Drosophila melanogaster: one gene and its partners. The protein of the gene in region 3 interacts with the protein of the main gene of each other region in a pairwise test. Each region holds a gene or a part of one and is shown on either strand. Other genes may lie near its edges.

Region 1 (3,875 bases), on a different chromosome or scaffold from region 3:
AAATGGTACAATACAATTGTACAGCCATAGTTTACATATTGACAGAGAAATGCCTAATCTGTGCTAAGACCAAACATCTCTAAATAAAATGCTTGACCTTAACGTTTAAGTTTTATTTACAAGATCAACGTTACTTAACGTATTTGCCTTTACTCATTTTCTTCTCCGAAAGTATTTGCAAATAAATCTAATTGAAATCTATTCAATGATAACATGGCCCCATAAATATTCATGACACTTCCCCCAACCACCATCCGGTTTTGTGTTGTCCTTTCATTTGCAAGCGAATTGACCGAAGCTTAATAATAATAAAACTGAACTGCTACGGCATTTAATGGCTAAATTAAACATTTTGCATAATTATTTCAAGTGATTCTGCAGTTGTAATATCCGAGGAATTATCTTAAAGGGCAGAAATCAGTTTTCTTCACAATTGGAATGGCCAGAGCATGAAATCAGAATGAAAGCGATTGGCCGGAAGGAAAACTCTTCGGTTGCCTAGACTGTCAAAAGGAATTTTCAATCACAAAACAAAATGCCAAAATAAGTTAAACTCTGGCTGTGTATCCTTGTATCTAGCTTCGGCCGAATGATGATTACCGTTAGGACATTGCGTAATTAAATATTCCCCAGACCAGTGAACTTTCGGAAGCAAAGTATTAATAGATGGGGAGCAAATGAAGGTTAGTGGGTTAATCATATCAACATCTCAGCAATTAGCCTGGCCAGTGGTACTTAGAATTTTCCTATAATTTCCTTAGCAACTTAGACGAGGCACGAACAGGAGTGGAATGACCGAAAGTTATTGGACACAATTTTTGTGATTGAGTAATTAAAGATATTTATCCTTGAGTAAAAACCATTAGGCAACATTTGTTAAAAGCTTCTTCTACAAAAGAGTGTAGATAGATGTAGTGTAATAGATACTTTCTGTCAAATGCATACACAAGTTTTAATCCCCAATGGTTTGTTATAATTACAAGTTTCTTTAATATAACTTTGCAATTTTTAACACTACTGAATGATTTCAGCGGGTCTCTTTCTTAGAAGTGCCAGGACGATTATCAGGGTTGGATTTACATATACGAGCAGGAGTAGGCTTCTCGGACGTTATTTTCAGTGAACTCTTGTGTTCATGTAGATTTTGGGTTTGAGTCGGAACAACCGAAGGGTATGGGACGCGAGGCTCGCGACTTGGTTCATCATCGTTGACCGATGGCATTCGATGCAAGTGCGTTAAAGAGGCCAATTCTTCCGGCTCTGCTTTGCTAAAGAGCTCGGCCTTCAGTTTTTGGTAGCAGTGATGGCTGGGGGAGAAACCTGGTTCAGGCTCAGAATGATCTGATATCCTGTATTCGGATTGACTTTCAGAATATGAGTATTTTGTTTGCGTCAAGTTGCTTGCTTCGCCGTCGAGTTGATTGTTTTCACTGCACGCTTCACAAGATTCCATTCCCCCTTCGCAGTGAATATTAAACTCTGAACTGGTCAACTCGGCAAACTCGTCGGCTATAAGACGTCGAGCCAGTGGAACCGAATAGAACTCCTTGTAATGCACTTTTCGCCGCCTCTCAAACTCCATTCTACGCACTTTTTCCTCTACAGACTCGGGAAAGTCCTCATCCGCCGAGGATTCTTCTGAGTCTCCTTCGATGCCAAATGCCGGCATTTCTGACTTTGATGTGTGTCTCAACTTTTCGATCAGGGCATTTGTATCCAACTCCTTTGGCAAATCCTCCTCAAAGACGAAGGGTGTCTTTGGTTCGTCGATGATCATGTGGCCGTAGTCCTTACCAGCCGGGTGGAACGTGGCCAGTATGTTGACCTCATCAAATTTGGCTGCCTTCAGGCTAAATTGCGCACTATTGTTTCCCGACTTCAGGATGCCCTTTACTTGGTCCCCATCCATTCTTGTTTGTAGCTATGTGTAGTTTTGGCCTTTGAAAGGAACTAATTACCGAACTAAAATGTATTAGTGTAAACTTGTGTGTGCCCTATATGGCTTATAATATTTAACTGATAAAATACATTGTCATCGTCAAAAAATATATAAAAATCGTGGGCTCCTTTTCTTGGAAGATTATTGTATAACTTCATTACATTCGCGTACAATTTTTTATTTTATTTTTAATTTATTATCATAAATCTCTCTATGAACTCTGCACTCAAATTACTCTGTTTAACATTTTAAATTGGGATCTAATTATGTAGTAGAAGGTATGCCTGCTTCAAGTCACATATTATCTTCTTATATTCGATTTTAAAATTACTTTATTTATTGTTACCATACATATTAAATTTGTATGTTTACGTATGTTGTTTAAATGCTGCTTAGTGGAGTTTCAAATTCATTGTTACTCCATCATTATTCTCTGGTAAATTAAGCCAAACATGTTTATTAATTATAAATTAAGTCCTTGTCTCCGTATCGAGCAAATACCCAACCCCTAATCTCGGATAATACCAAATCTCCGATCAGACTGTGGACGGATTCACTTTCAAAATATCAAGTGGTTTTCCTGCTGCAATCTCGAAGTAATCCCTGTTGCCATTGCTACTGTTGTTTTTGTGTTGAGGATGTCAAGAACTCGATGTGTTTGTGTGTGGATGAATGTATTCGGTACTCCAATCGAGATACTTCATAATCCGCGGGAGCAGTTTCCAATCGCAGCCATCGAAACCACAAAGTAAACTCATTTTGACGTGTTCAAAATGGGGTTTTGCCGCCCGTTGGATGGAATGATAGGGGGTTTTGTAAAGCGGAGTCAGAGCAAGGCTTCATTATTGATGCGCCATAGTGGAGTTTTTGTTATTGATGTAAACATATTCATCACAAACATGTTACCTCCGATACGGACGAAAACGTGGAAAATGGGGGAAGTGGGGGCGGTAAATCAAGTGATGATAAGAGGCGTGGGGCAACCAATGCAGTTGTGGCAGTTGCAGTTCGCTCTGTGGCAGCTGCCACTTCAAATAACTTCACTGCACACCGTTTTTCCCGCTTTCTCCCGCTTTTCCAAAGGGAAAAGTGAGGGAGTGCCGCATGTGAAGAGGGGCTAGAGGTCACGGAGCGCTGTATTGGGAATTGATTGCAGCACATTATTTCACAATTTTGCCAGCAAATAAACAAGCCTTTGCCGGAGTACGTTCAGATACGAGCCCAGACACCGCGAGAAAAAATGCGTAAAAATATTAAAGCACGATGCCTTTAATATTTTTATATTAATATTAATATATTTTAAGGGGAGAGACAATATTATCAGTTTCCGTTTATCTGATGGAATGACTAATTAGGTATATATTATTCAAAATGTATATTACTAAAAATTATAAGCTAAATCCGTTTTCTCGCTGTGTAGATCCCCGATACGCTTGCACGCATGTGACGAGCGGATGCTTATAAGCACAGTGGATGCGACAAAACAGCAGCATAAAAGTGACGATGACGAGGATATGTCCTCCTTCACTTGTTCCTCCACGCGATGATGACGTTGCGATGTTGTGTCCTGTTGCGAGGTGAAGATGATGATGATCATCAACATCATGATGATGGAGATATAGGCGATGCCGGCAAACAGTCAACAACTGTTTTTCAGCTGCAGTTTTCCTGCCATGTTTGATTGCCTCTCTGTCGGAGACGAAATGCGATGTTGATGCGGCTAGGAAATTTTTCCTTCGATTTACGAAATTGCAGTTGCCCCGATTGCATTTCTTATGTGCATCAATCGCAACAATGTGCAGTGCCGGCAGGATGTGTGCATTGCGTATCCGCAACTGTGTATCTGTGTTCGAGTGTCTGCGTATATGTGTGTGTATCCGAGTATCTGAGTATCCGTATCCGAGGCTCTGTCTGTGCAAATTCTACGTGCAACGCG
Region 2 (4,733 bases), on a different chromosome or scaffold from region 3:
GCCACTTACTCGCACCCAAACTCCTTGACGCCGCGATGTCGCTTACAATGCAGTATGAATGATATTCGATCTTTTATGTGATTTCCGCACTCCTCACAAAAGAAGGTCCTATTGGAGTCGCGGGGATTTCGACGATTTCTCCTTTTTTTGGGATTCTCAGAGTCTGATTTGAGTTCCTGCTTTGCATCTACTTCAGTATCGCTTTCGTAAATAAGGTAATCCATTTCACTATAATCAATATCGTCCTCATTATTGGGCTCGTCTTCGTTGATTTTAGATTCATTTAGAATGTCCTCCACTTTAAAACCGGAGCTTTGAATGGGCCCTTCATTGAGATCGTCTAATCGCTCGACTTCTATGCTTATTTCTGCCAGATCCAGTTCCAACTCCTCCTGCTCAAGGACACTTTTGGGAGATTCCTGGCAGATTCTAAGGAAGTCTTCATCATCTTGGGAATGGAGCAACTCCCTTTGGACTTCCAAACAGCGTTCCCTAAAGGATATGGCTTGTTGCAAACAAGTTTGGCAGGACGCACATAGTCGATTTGGCAACGTACTACAGTTCTTTAACTGTAAAGAGAAAAAACTTTAGAAAGTTAAAGACACTACGCATTATTATCCTCTCACCACAGCTCCAGTTAGTAGTTTGATGTGTTCCAGCGTAGTTTGATTGCGCTTTTCAAAAATATTCAATGATCTTTCAGCATTCGTGCGCTTGCCGCAAGTGCGACACACTTTTCCTTCCATTTTTGAGCCGATAAAAAAGTTTGAAACGCCAAACTTTTTGTAAACAATGCTATGCTTGTCAATCAGCTGTTCCGTTTGCCATTCGCATGGAAGCAATTTTTACAGATGAAATAAATGCTCATAAGTTGGGATTTGAAGTTTTGATTTATTATTCAATATTAAGTTCTACATATTACAATTGGTTTGTTAATTATTTGCAGAAATGCTCCTTGGCTGTGCGCCATTGTCGGTCTAGCATTGCCTGTAATTGCTATGTATATATTATAAGGACAGCTTTAGATGTGCAGGCTGTCCTCCTCCTCCTCCTTGAGTTCACGTTTCTGCTCCTGCTCCAGGACCTGTTTCATCTCGGCTTTCTCCAGATGCCGCTTGTGTACGCCAGACCGGAAGTGGGTGCTCAGGTGGGTGGGCAGCATAAAGGACTTGTCGCACAGCTCGCACCTTGAGGGGAAGATTCAGTATTAGATGGCATTTCAAACATTTCAGTAACTGTACCAGTATCACTAGTTTCATATTATTATAAGAAATTATTATAAGATAACTAAATATTACTCACGAAATTTGGCAACATAAGTAATATTTAGTTATCTTAACTCTCATAAGGTTTTGGAAAACTCTTGTAATGCCGCATAATATGATCTTAGAATTTCTAAGAAACCTAGTTATTGGGTTTCCCGGTACTGTGTAGCTGTATGACTCAACGTACCTGTAGGCCCGCTCGCCGGAATGTATCAGCATATGGTTCTTAAGGATGTAGCCGGTAGTGAAGGCCTTGCCGCAAGTACCACAGACGTAGGGGCGCTCATTGGTGTGGGTACGCTCATGCTTCACGCGCGTGGTGTAGTCTGTGAAGCAGCGGCCACAGTACTTACATGCAAACGGTCGCTCTCCGGTGTGCTTGCGCATGTGGCGTTTCAGCTCGGAAGTTGTGCAGAAGCGCGACTGACAGAGTCTGAAAATAAATCCATTTAGTCATACTGTATCCAAAAAGGAGTAGAAATGTACTCACTCGCAGCCAAATTGCTTGTCCCCACGATGGCGACGACAGTGAAGTTCAAAGGCCATGCGTCCCTTGATGTGATTGCCGCACTGCTCGCAGATGTATACTCCGCCGGTGCCACGACGACGCGCATCATCCGACCGGACCTTTGGCTTTGGCGGCAGACTACACTTCTTGACGACAATGTTTTCATGCTCGTACTCATCATCCAGCACGTTGTCAAGAACGGCCACCTCATCATCCGAATCGTAGACGTACGCGTCGTTGACGTCGCCCACAATTAGCTCGGTGTCTTCGTCCAGCTCCAACGTTTGCTGCTGCTCTTCGTCTTCGGCCATTATGGAATCATAGTCGGCCTCTTCAATCAAGGAGGCTGCGTCGTCCTCGCCGGCGTGTCCCTCGGCCACCTCGTAGTAGGTATTATCGTACTCTACCTTGGTGTCGTCGATCTCTTCCTTAGGTTCTTCCAATACGATTTCCTGATAAGTGGCATAGACCTCATCATCGTCGGGCGTCTTCACCGTCTGGACAATATCCTCGCCCATGACAGCCGCCCGGTAGAAGGCCGAGATGCCTTGGCGTTGCTCCTCGGTCAATCCCAAGAGTAGCTCACGCTGGGCGGCGATGCAGCGCTCCCTCAGCTTAACGGCGGAGGCCAGTTCCATGCTGCAGCATTCACATATCTGATCCGGCAGGCAACCGTAGTTCTCCAGCTAGATTAAACACCAATAAATTAAGCTATAACTACATAAATTCCATAAAGCCGCAGTGAAAAATTTACCCGAAGGCCTGTGAGCGCCTCAATGTTGTCGATCATCTTTGTGTTGCTCCGCTCGAATAACTTCGGCGACCGCTTGTTGCTTGCATACTTTGCGCATACGCGGCAGGTGCTCTTTAGGTGTTTCAGCGCCGATTTCGACATTTTTCATTCGCAATCCGAAATGAAATCGTTTTTAAGATATTTGTGAACACAAAAAATAAACGCGTCGCTTGTCAACTGCATTTGCCATTCACCCGGTGTTTCGTGTTAATATTTGCCATTCGCCCCGAAATAAACATATTTTCAGTGGCGTAGGCAAAGGGGTTCATATGATGCCAAAATATATATATATCCTCGAAAATGAATTACTTTGTTAACGTTAGTATTATATATTGCTTTGATATTTAACGGATTTGCATATTTATTATACTCCAATAATATCACATATAAATTTGAATTAATTTGTTTTATAATTTTAAATTTATAAAATTATAAATAAAATCTTTTATTTAAATCTTTAAATTAAATCTTTTTTATAAATTAATTTCTATAGAGCTGCAAGCGAAACGAAATATATACAGTAGAACAGGTTCTAAGCTAAAGTCCCTGGAATTAGTACAGTTTCTTTGGTGTATTTCATCCCTGACCGGCTACGTCCATGTCATGTTGGCAAGCAGCTGTCAGGAATGCCGACAACAACAACCACGACGCTATGGCGAACTTGGAATGGTAATTTATTTATTTTCCCCCGAAAATAAACAAATAAGCATTGATAACCATTTCTCCTGACTGCAGGGTGTGCGTGCCGCGATGCTACGAGGTCCGGAAGAATTGCCTGACTGGGCAGGCCACGCTGGAGCATCCCCTAAAGCAGCGGACGGTGACGGTGGGTAAATGGTACAACGCCCTTATCTGTAAGTGATTTTAATGAAAGAACAATCTCCACCAGGTGGTGGACAGCAATCCCTTGAGCCGAGCTCTAGAGGGCACAGATCCGCTCTCGCAGTTTGCACGCCAAGATGATGAGCTCAACGATCCGCTCAGTCAAATGGTCAGCGAATTCGTAAGTAGAGTGGTGCACCGGCAAGGAACATGACTAAGTTTTTCGCACTTGGATGTTCAGGATCTCAAGTCGAAGCGTCGTGAACGGGACCGAACGGAGCCCGAGGACAACACACTGCAGTGGAGCAGCCGACGACTAGGCATCCTCAACCGCTTTACAACCAATGAGAAGCTATCGCTGTCTACCAGCTTTCTGGTGTCATCTGGTAGCCTGGATGGCGGCAACGAAAGCAGTAAGTTCAGTGGTCGGTTGATCTGTGATATATATTAACAACAATCATAGTTAAAGCACAAACGGTGGTGGCCGACAAGACAAAGTTTCGCTTGGAGCAGTTAGACCACTTCGACGATGGCAGCATGCGTCACATGATGGATCTTACTCAGCAGGAGTACATTCAGCGGTTTGAGCAACTCAAGCAGGAGCTGATCCAGTCCTGGCACAACGATCAGCGAGTAAAAGCGTTGAAGATAGCCATACAGTGTGCCAAAATGCTAGCGGACACCACTGTGCTGCAATTCTATCCGAGTCAGTACGTTCTTATCACTGATATACTGGATGTTTTTGGAAAATTGGTATACGAACGACTGCGTGCTAAGGCCTCTGGAGATCCTGCCGCATCGGCGGCCACATTAGAGCGGGAACGGGAAGCTGCCCGGGATACGTGCCAGAATTGGTTTTATAAGATCGCCTCGATTCGTGAGTTACTGCCGCGTTTTTACTTGGAGCTGTCAATATTCAAGTGCTACGAGTTCCTGTCATCATCGCGCGAGGAGTATGAGCGCATTTTGCAACGTTTGACCCATCAACTGAGGGGTATAGCTGATCCTTTGGTATCGAGCTATGCCCGCTGCTACTTGGTGCGCATGGGCGTTACCCTAACGTCGAGTAAGACATACATAAGAGAGAACTTTGCCGACCTGTTCCTCATATATCCTCAGGTGAGACCGAGAAATATTAAACGTTTAATCACTTTTACTACAAATTTAATACTTTTAAAGATCTTTCGCTTCGTGGCCCGCTTTAATCTGCATCCGGAAATCGTCACCGCCAGCTCCTACCTACAGCTATATGCCCCAGCCTTTGACTACATGCTTCTCTGCCTTGTTCACAAAAGCGAACTGCACACCCAGGATATTCTTAATGAGTGCAAGCAGTTGAAGAATA
Region 3 (4,467 bases):
GAAATGTTTCTCGACTATTAGAGTGTGTGTTTTACCCAGCAAGTGTGAATGCGTACTCCAAATAATAAAATTAACGAAACAAAATAAACTAAAAACAATGCTTCAAAAATGTGGGCTTGGCGGTTTTGGGATGTTTTAGGGCATTAGAGTGGGCCTTTTAAAAAAGTTTTTTGGCAAATATATATAAATTACAAGACTAATAAAATTATGACAAAATATCCAAAATTTTTAAAAAAAAGTGGGAGTGGCAGCTTTAGGCGCTTTTAGGGCGTTAGAGTGGACGTGGCAACCAATTTATTTTTGCAAAACGATAGAAATTTACAAGACTAATAATAATGTAAAAAATTAATTAATTAATAATTATAAAAAAATTAATGTAAAATATAATTTTATAGTTCCTGAATCTTGACGTTCATACGGACAGACGGACATGGCCAGATCGACTCGGCTATTGATCCTGATCAAGAATATAAATACTTTATATGGTCAGAAACGCTCCCCCCCACTGCCTGTTACTTTTTAACGAATCTAGTATGCCCTTATACTCTACGAGTAACGGGTTATTAAAAAAGGGTTATTATTTGCATTTCAAATAATTCAAATACTGAAAGCTAATATAATTTCCAAAAGAAAAATACTAAAGCCTCAATGCATTTATATACAAACGCGTAGCTCTTATTTGTTTACGACTCGTTCAGTTGTCAATAGCAACGCAACGCATAGTAAGAAAGTATTACTTTGTTACAATCGCAATAAGATGGAAGAACTTCAAAAAGTTGGTGTGTTTATAGATGAAATTTACACGGTGCGAGTTGAGCATCCAAACCTTTCCAGTAGCAAAATAATGTTTAAACAAGAATGCTTCAACTACATTAAAGCATTCACTATTTTTAAAAAGTTTGTGTTTAATTATTGTAATATTTCTGAAACGTTTGCCAAAGATGTCGATAAGGAAAAACTACGCGCTATTGGTACTCAAAATCAATTAAAAACGGCATTTATTCAGCGCCAGAACAAGCAGCAAGTCTATCAATATGAGATATTTGAGCAAACAGTAGAACTTGAACGCTTAAAAGGCGAATTGCAGTTTTTACAGCGAATTGAAACGGAGCAACATGAAATAATAAACAATTTTTTTGTCAATCAATATTAAAATTAAATCTACGTATTTGTAGACGTTTTTCTTATTTTGTTGATATTCTTACGATAACATGTAAGACTACATAATGGAACATTTGTTGTTGAACAATTATATGTCTTGCGATTTTCACAACCGCTTACAAAGCACACCTGTGAAGGAGGAGGTGTACGAGGGAGTTGAACTTTTAAAGGATATTCGTAACCTGGGGGAACTATTACATAGTTGCCAGTTACAGCACTTATATAGGTTATTTTTGGATAAGAGGGCTGTTGTAAAGACTTATTGCGAATTGAAATCCGATCCCTGTTGGTTGCCTGTTTTTTTAACAACCGCTCCATTGTCTTTAATTTATCTTTTTCTCTGCGTTCGTCAGCTTGTTGTTTTCGTTTTTGAGATTTCAGAAGAGCTTTATGAATTTCCTCCGCAGTCTGCGGCTTTTCCTTTTCTTTATAACCACTTGGAAGAGCAATTAGCTCTTCTATAAATCCATTTATTTCGGAGTCCTGTGTCCGTTCATAAATAGCACGTTGACGTGCTGTCATAAGTTTGGGGTCCTTTATCTTTTTAAGTTCCTCATCAACAACGTCTAGTTTCCCGGTTTCTATGGCGGTAAGCCACCGATCCTCTTCACTGGACGTATCACTGTTGCGTCGTCTTTTACCTTTTTTAGCACCCGTGTGAGGCAAACTGTCATCATGTGCCAATTTTTTTGTGCTAATATTTCTCGTGCGTCTAAGAGGATGTTCATGAATATTTGAATTAGATGCAAGCGCATCTGTAGTGTAATGAAGTTCTTTAGGTCTCAACGAATTTGAAATAGACTCAGCAGATAAGTACTCTGCATCCTTAGAACCTATGAATAAAAAATGTTACTTTTTAAGATGTAACGTTTGGTGATTGATATAAATTACCTTCTTTCACCATTTCAATTGAAATACACTCGTCCTGTAGCAGCGGCCAATATTTTTGTTTGTTATGCTTAATTTTTTCAAATGTCCAAAAATTGCATTGGTCATACATCCACTACGATGCTTATAGCCTAATTCCACAAATGACATCCTTATTAAACGGCTGGGAAAATCGTGCAATCTCTCTGGCCACATAGTATAATGATTTTAAACTTATAATGATTATAATTATAATAATAATAATTATAATAATAATACTAAAAAAAATTTGAATTGTGCACAATATATTTTTGTATTCCCCTTCCTAAATGCATTTAAGCAATTCACAGAATACATAGCAAAACCATGGTTAGCGGTTGTGTTGAACCGATAACCGATGAAACTGAATAGTAACTAAATATCGTTCCTGATGTCGAGACTCCAATCTATGTGCACTTATGCACGCGAATTCAAATTCTGCATGAAAAGCGCATAAGTTGATAAATGAATAATGGATAAAGTTTAATAAAATTACAAATTATTTGAATTTTTGGTCGGGTAATGTTTAATGTTTTTTATGTTAGTGTCATTACAATCGATATGTTCGATTATTTTACTAAACTTTATATATATATATACTATACTATACTATATATATACTGTTTGTCAAGAAACTGTTTACACACCGTGAAATAAGTTGAATTTTTAACTTTAAAGGTCAAAATTAAGGGTTATTTGTTTAATTAAACGCAATTTTTTTATGAAATATAATTAAACAATATTTATTTTACTTATAAATTAAAAAACAAATTCAAAATATCAAATATACAAGAAAATAAACAACAAATTTCAAGTTTACACACTTTTGAGAGTGTAAAGAAACTATTTACACAAAACACTAAACCTAAGTTTAATCATAAATTTTTTAATTATTTTGTTAATATTTGAAAATTTTTAGTATTTAGTATGACCCCCATTGGCTTTGGCTACAAGTTGAAGCCTTTTTTTCATGGAATGGATGAGTTTTTTTAGGTCATATTCAAGCGGGATCTTTTCCCACTCTTCGACTATCGCAGCAATGAGATGTTGCCGTGTTTTGGGGCACCTTTTTGCCACCTTCTTCTTTAAGTAGGTCCACAAATTTTCAATGGGGTTCAGATCAGGACTCTGAGGGGGCGTATCGATCACCTTGCCACAGTTATAAAGTAGCCAGTTGCGTACATTGTACTCTTTATGTTTGGGATCATTGTCGTGATAAAACTTAAAATTTGGCTTGTTGTTGCTAAATAGACCACATTTTTCTGCACTGGCCTTCAAATTTGTTTCTAAAATATCTAGATATTGCACGGCATTCATAGTGCTTTCAATAAAGGCTAATTTGCCCACTCCATGGCTGGAAATACAGCCCCAAATAATCACTGACAATTTTCCAAATTTGATTGTTGGTATGATATTTTGTTTTTCTAGCGCACTCAACGGTTTGCGCCATACTCTGCTTGGCCCGTCGTTATAAAAGAGCATCATATTTGTTTCGTCACAAAATATGACGTCATCCCAGTACTCTTCCGCATGATCTATCATGCTGAATGACGCTTTTCAATATTGACCTCTGATAGCAAAGGCATTTTTCTTGCAACTCTTGAAGAGTACCTATGGTAGTAGGATAACGTGGTGCACAGTTTCGTGTGACACAGTTAGGTGATATTCTTCCCTGATATCCTGAGCAAGTGATCTGACCGAGATTCGGGGGTTCGCAATCACTTTTAAGGCAGTCTACTCGCTTGTTAATTTTGGTTTTCCGCCCATTACCACTCTTAGGTTCAAGCCTGCCCTCTTTTTCCGCACGATTTAAAATATTATAGACGGTCTTAGGTTGCCGTCTCTTGTTCGTTTGCATCCCTCGACTTCTCCTCCACAGGCAAAGTCCACCGATTTCTTTATGATGAATGGTGAAATTCTTTCGAAAGAGTTGTTGTCTTTCCTTTTGATAATTATAAATTTAGGTTCACCTAATTGCGATGGTATGTTTTTGAAGTAATTTTGTAAATGTTTGGTGGGTCTGTCATGATTGTTGGTTAAGAGCTTGAGCCCGGGTTGGCGGTATTGTTGTTGGTTTTATTTTATTTTCTCTTTGTGGTTGATATTTGTTTATCAAGATTTTGCTGATAAGGGTTTTGGGCTTACGCGAAGCCGGGCTTTAAACTGGGTGGCACGACTTATCTCTTCGGAGGTTGAAGTGGTACTGTTGTTTTGCATTATATTCATTGCCTCGTTTCTGTTTTTTTTTTATATCGCATCTATCTTCTCGTGAATCGAGCCGGTTGGGTGGGAGGTGTGGCCGTGGGACCCGTACGAAAAAAAAAGTAGAGCATCCATTGCTTGAAATTTTATAGTATTATAGCTGTTCTTAATAATTCTATTGACTTACAATACTATTCT

Evidence for each region. Proteins that work in one complex are often made in the same cells at the same time.
Region 1: the proteins of CG10395 (region 3) and CG6380 interact in a two-hybrid assay, tested with the Drosophila melanogaster proteins (one large-scale study listed by BioGRID).
Region 2: the proteins of CG10395 (region 3) and M1BP interact in a two-hybrid assay, tested with the Drosophila melanogaster proteins (one large-scale study listed by BioGRID).

The regions. Positions count from the first base shown.
Region 1 is NT_033779.5:17,290,200-17,294,074, forward strand, and holds CG6380 (uncharacterized protein), read right to left. Parts: upstream 2,004-3,875; 5' UTR 1,910-2,003; coding exon 1,028-1,909; 3' UTR 876-1,027; downstream 1-875.
Region 2 is NT_033777.3:8,728,915-8,733,647, forward strand, and holds M1BP (motif 1 binding protein), read right to left. Parts: upstream 2,785-4,733; 5' UTR 2,669-2,784; coding exon 2,528-2,668; intron 2,460-2,527; coding exon 1,756-2,459; intron 1,699-1,755; coding exon 1,453-1,698; intron 1,188-1,452; coding exon 1,022-1,187; 3' UTR 876-1,021; downstream 1-875. Other genes in the region: ranshi, read right to left, coding at 10-569, 627-746; CG8202 (uncharacterized protein), read left to right, coding at 3,219-3,235, 3,302-3,392, 3,456-3,569, 3,630-3,801, 3,852-4,507, 4,568-4,733.
Region 3 is NT_033778.4:5,348,407-5,352,873, reverse strand, and holds CG10395 (uncharacterized protein), read right to left. Parts: upstream 2,398-4,467; 5' UTR 2,066-2,397; coding exon 2,053-2,065; intron 1,995-2,052; coding exon 1,162-1,994; 3' UTR 1,154-1,161; downstream 1-1,153. Other genes in the region: IFT20 (intraflagellar transport 20), read left to right, coding at 758-1,153.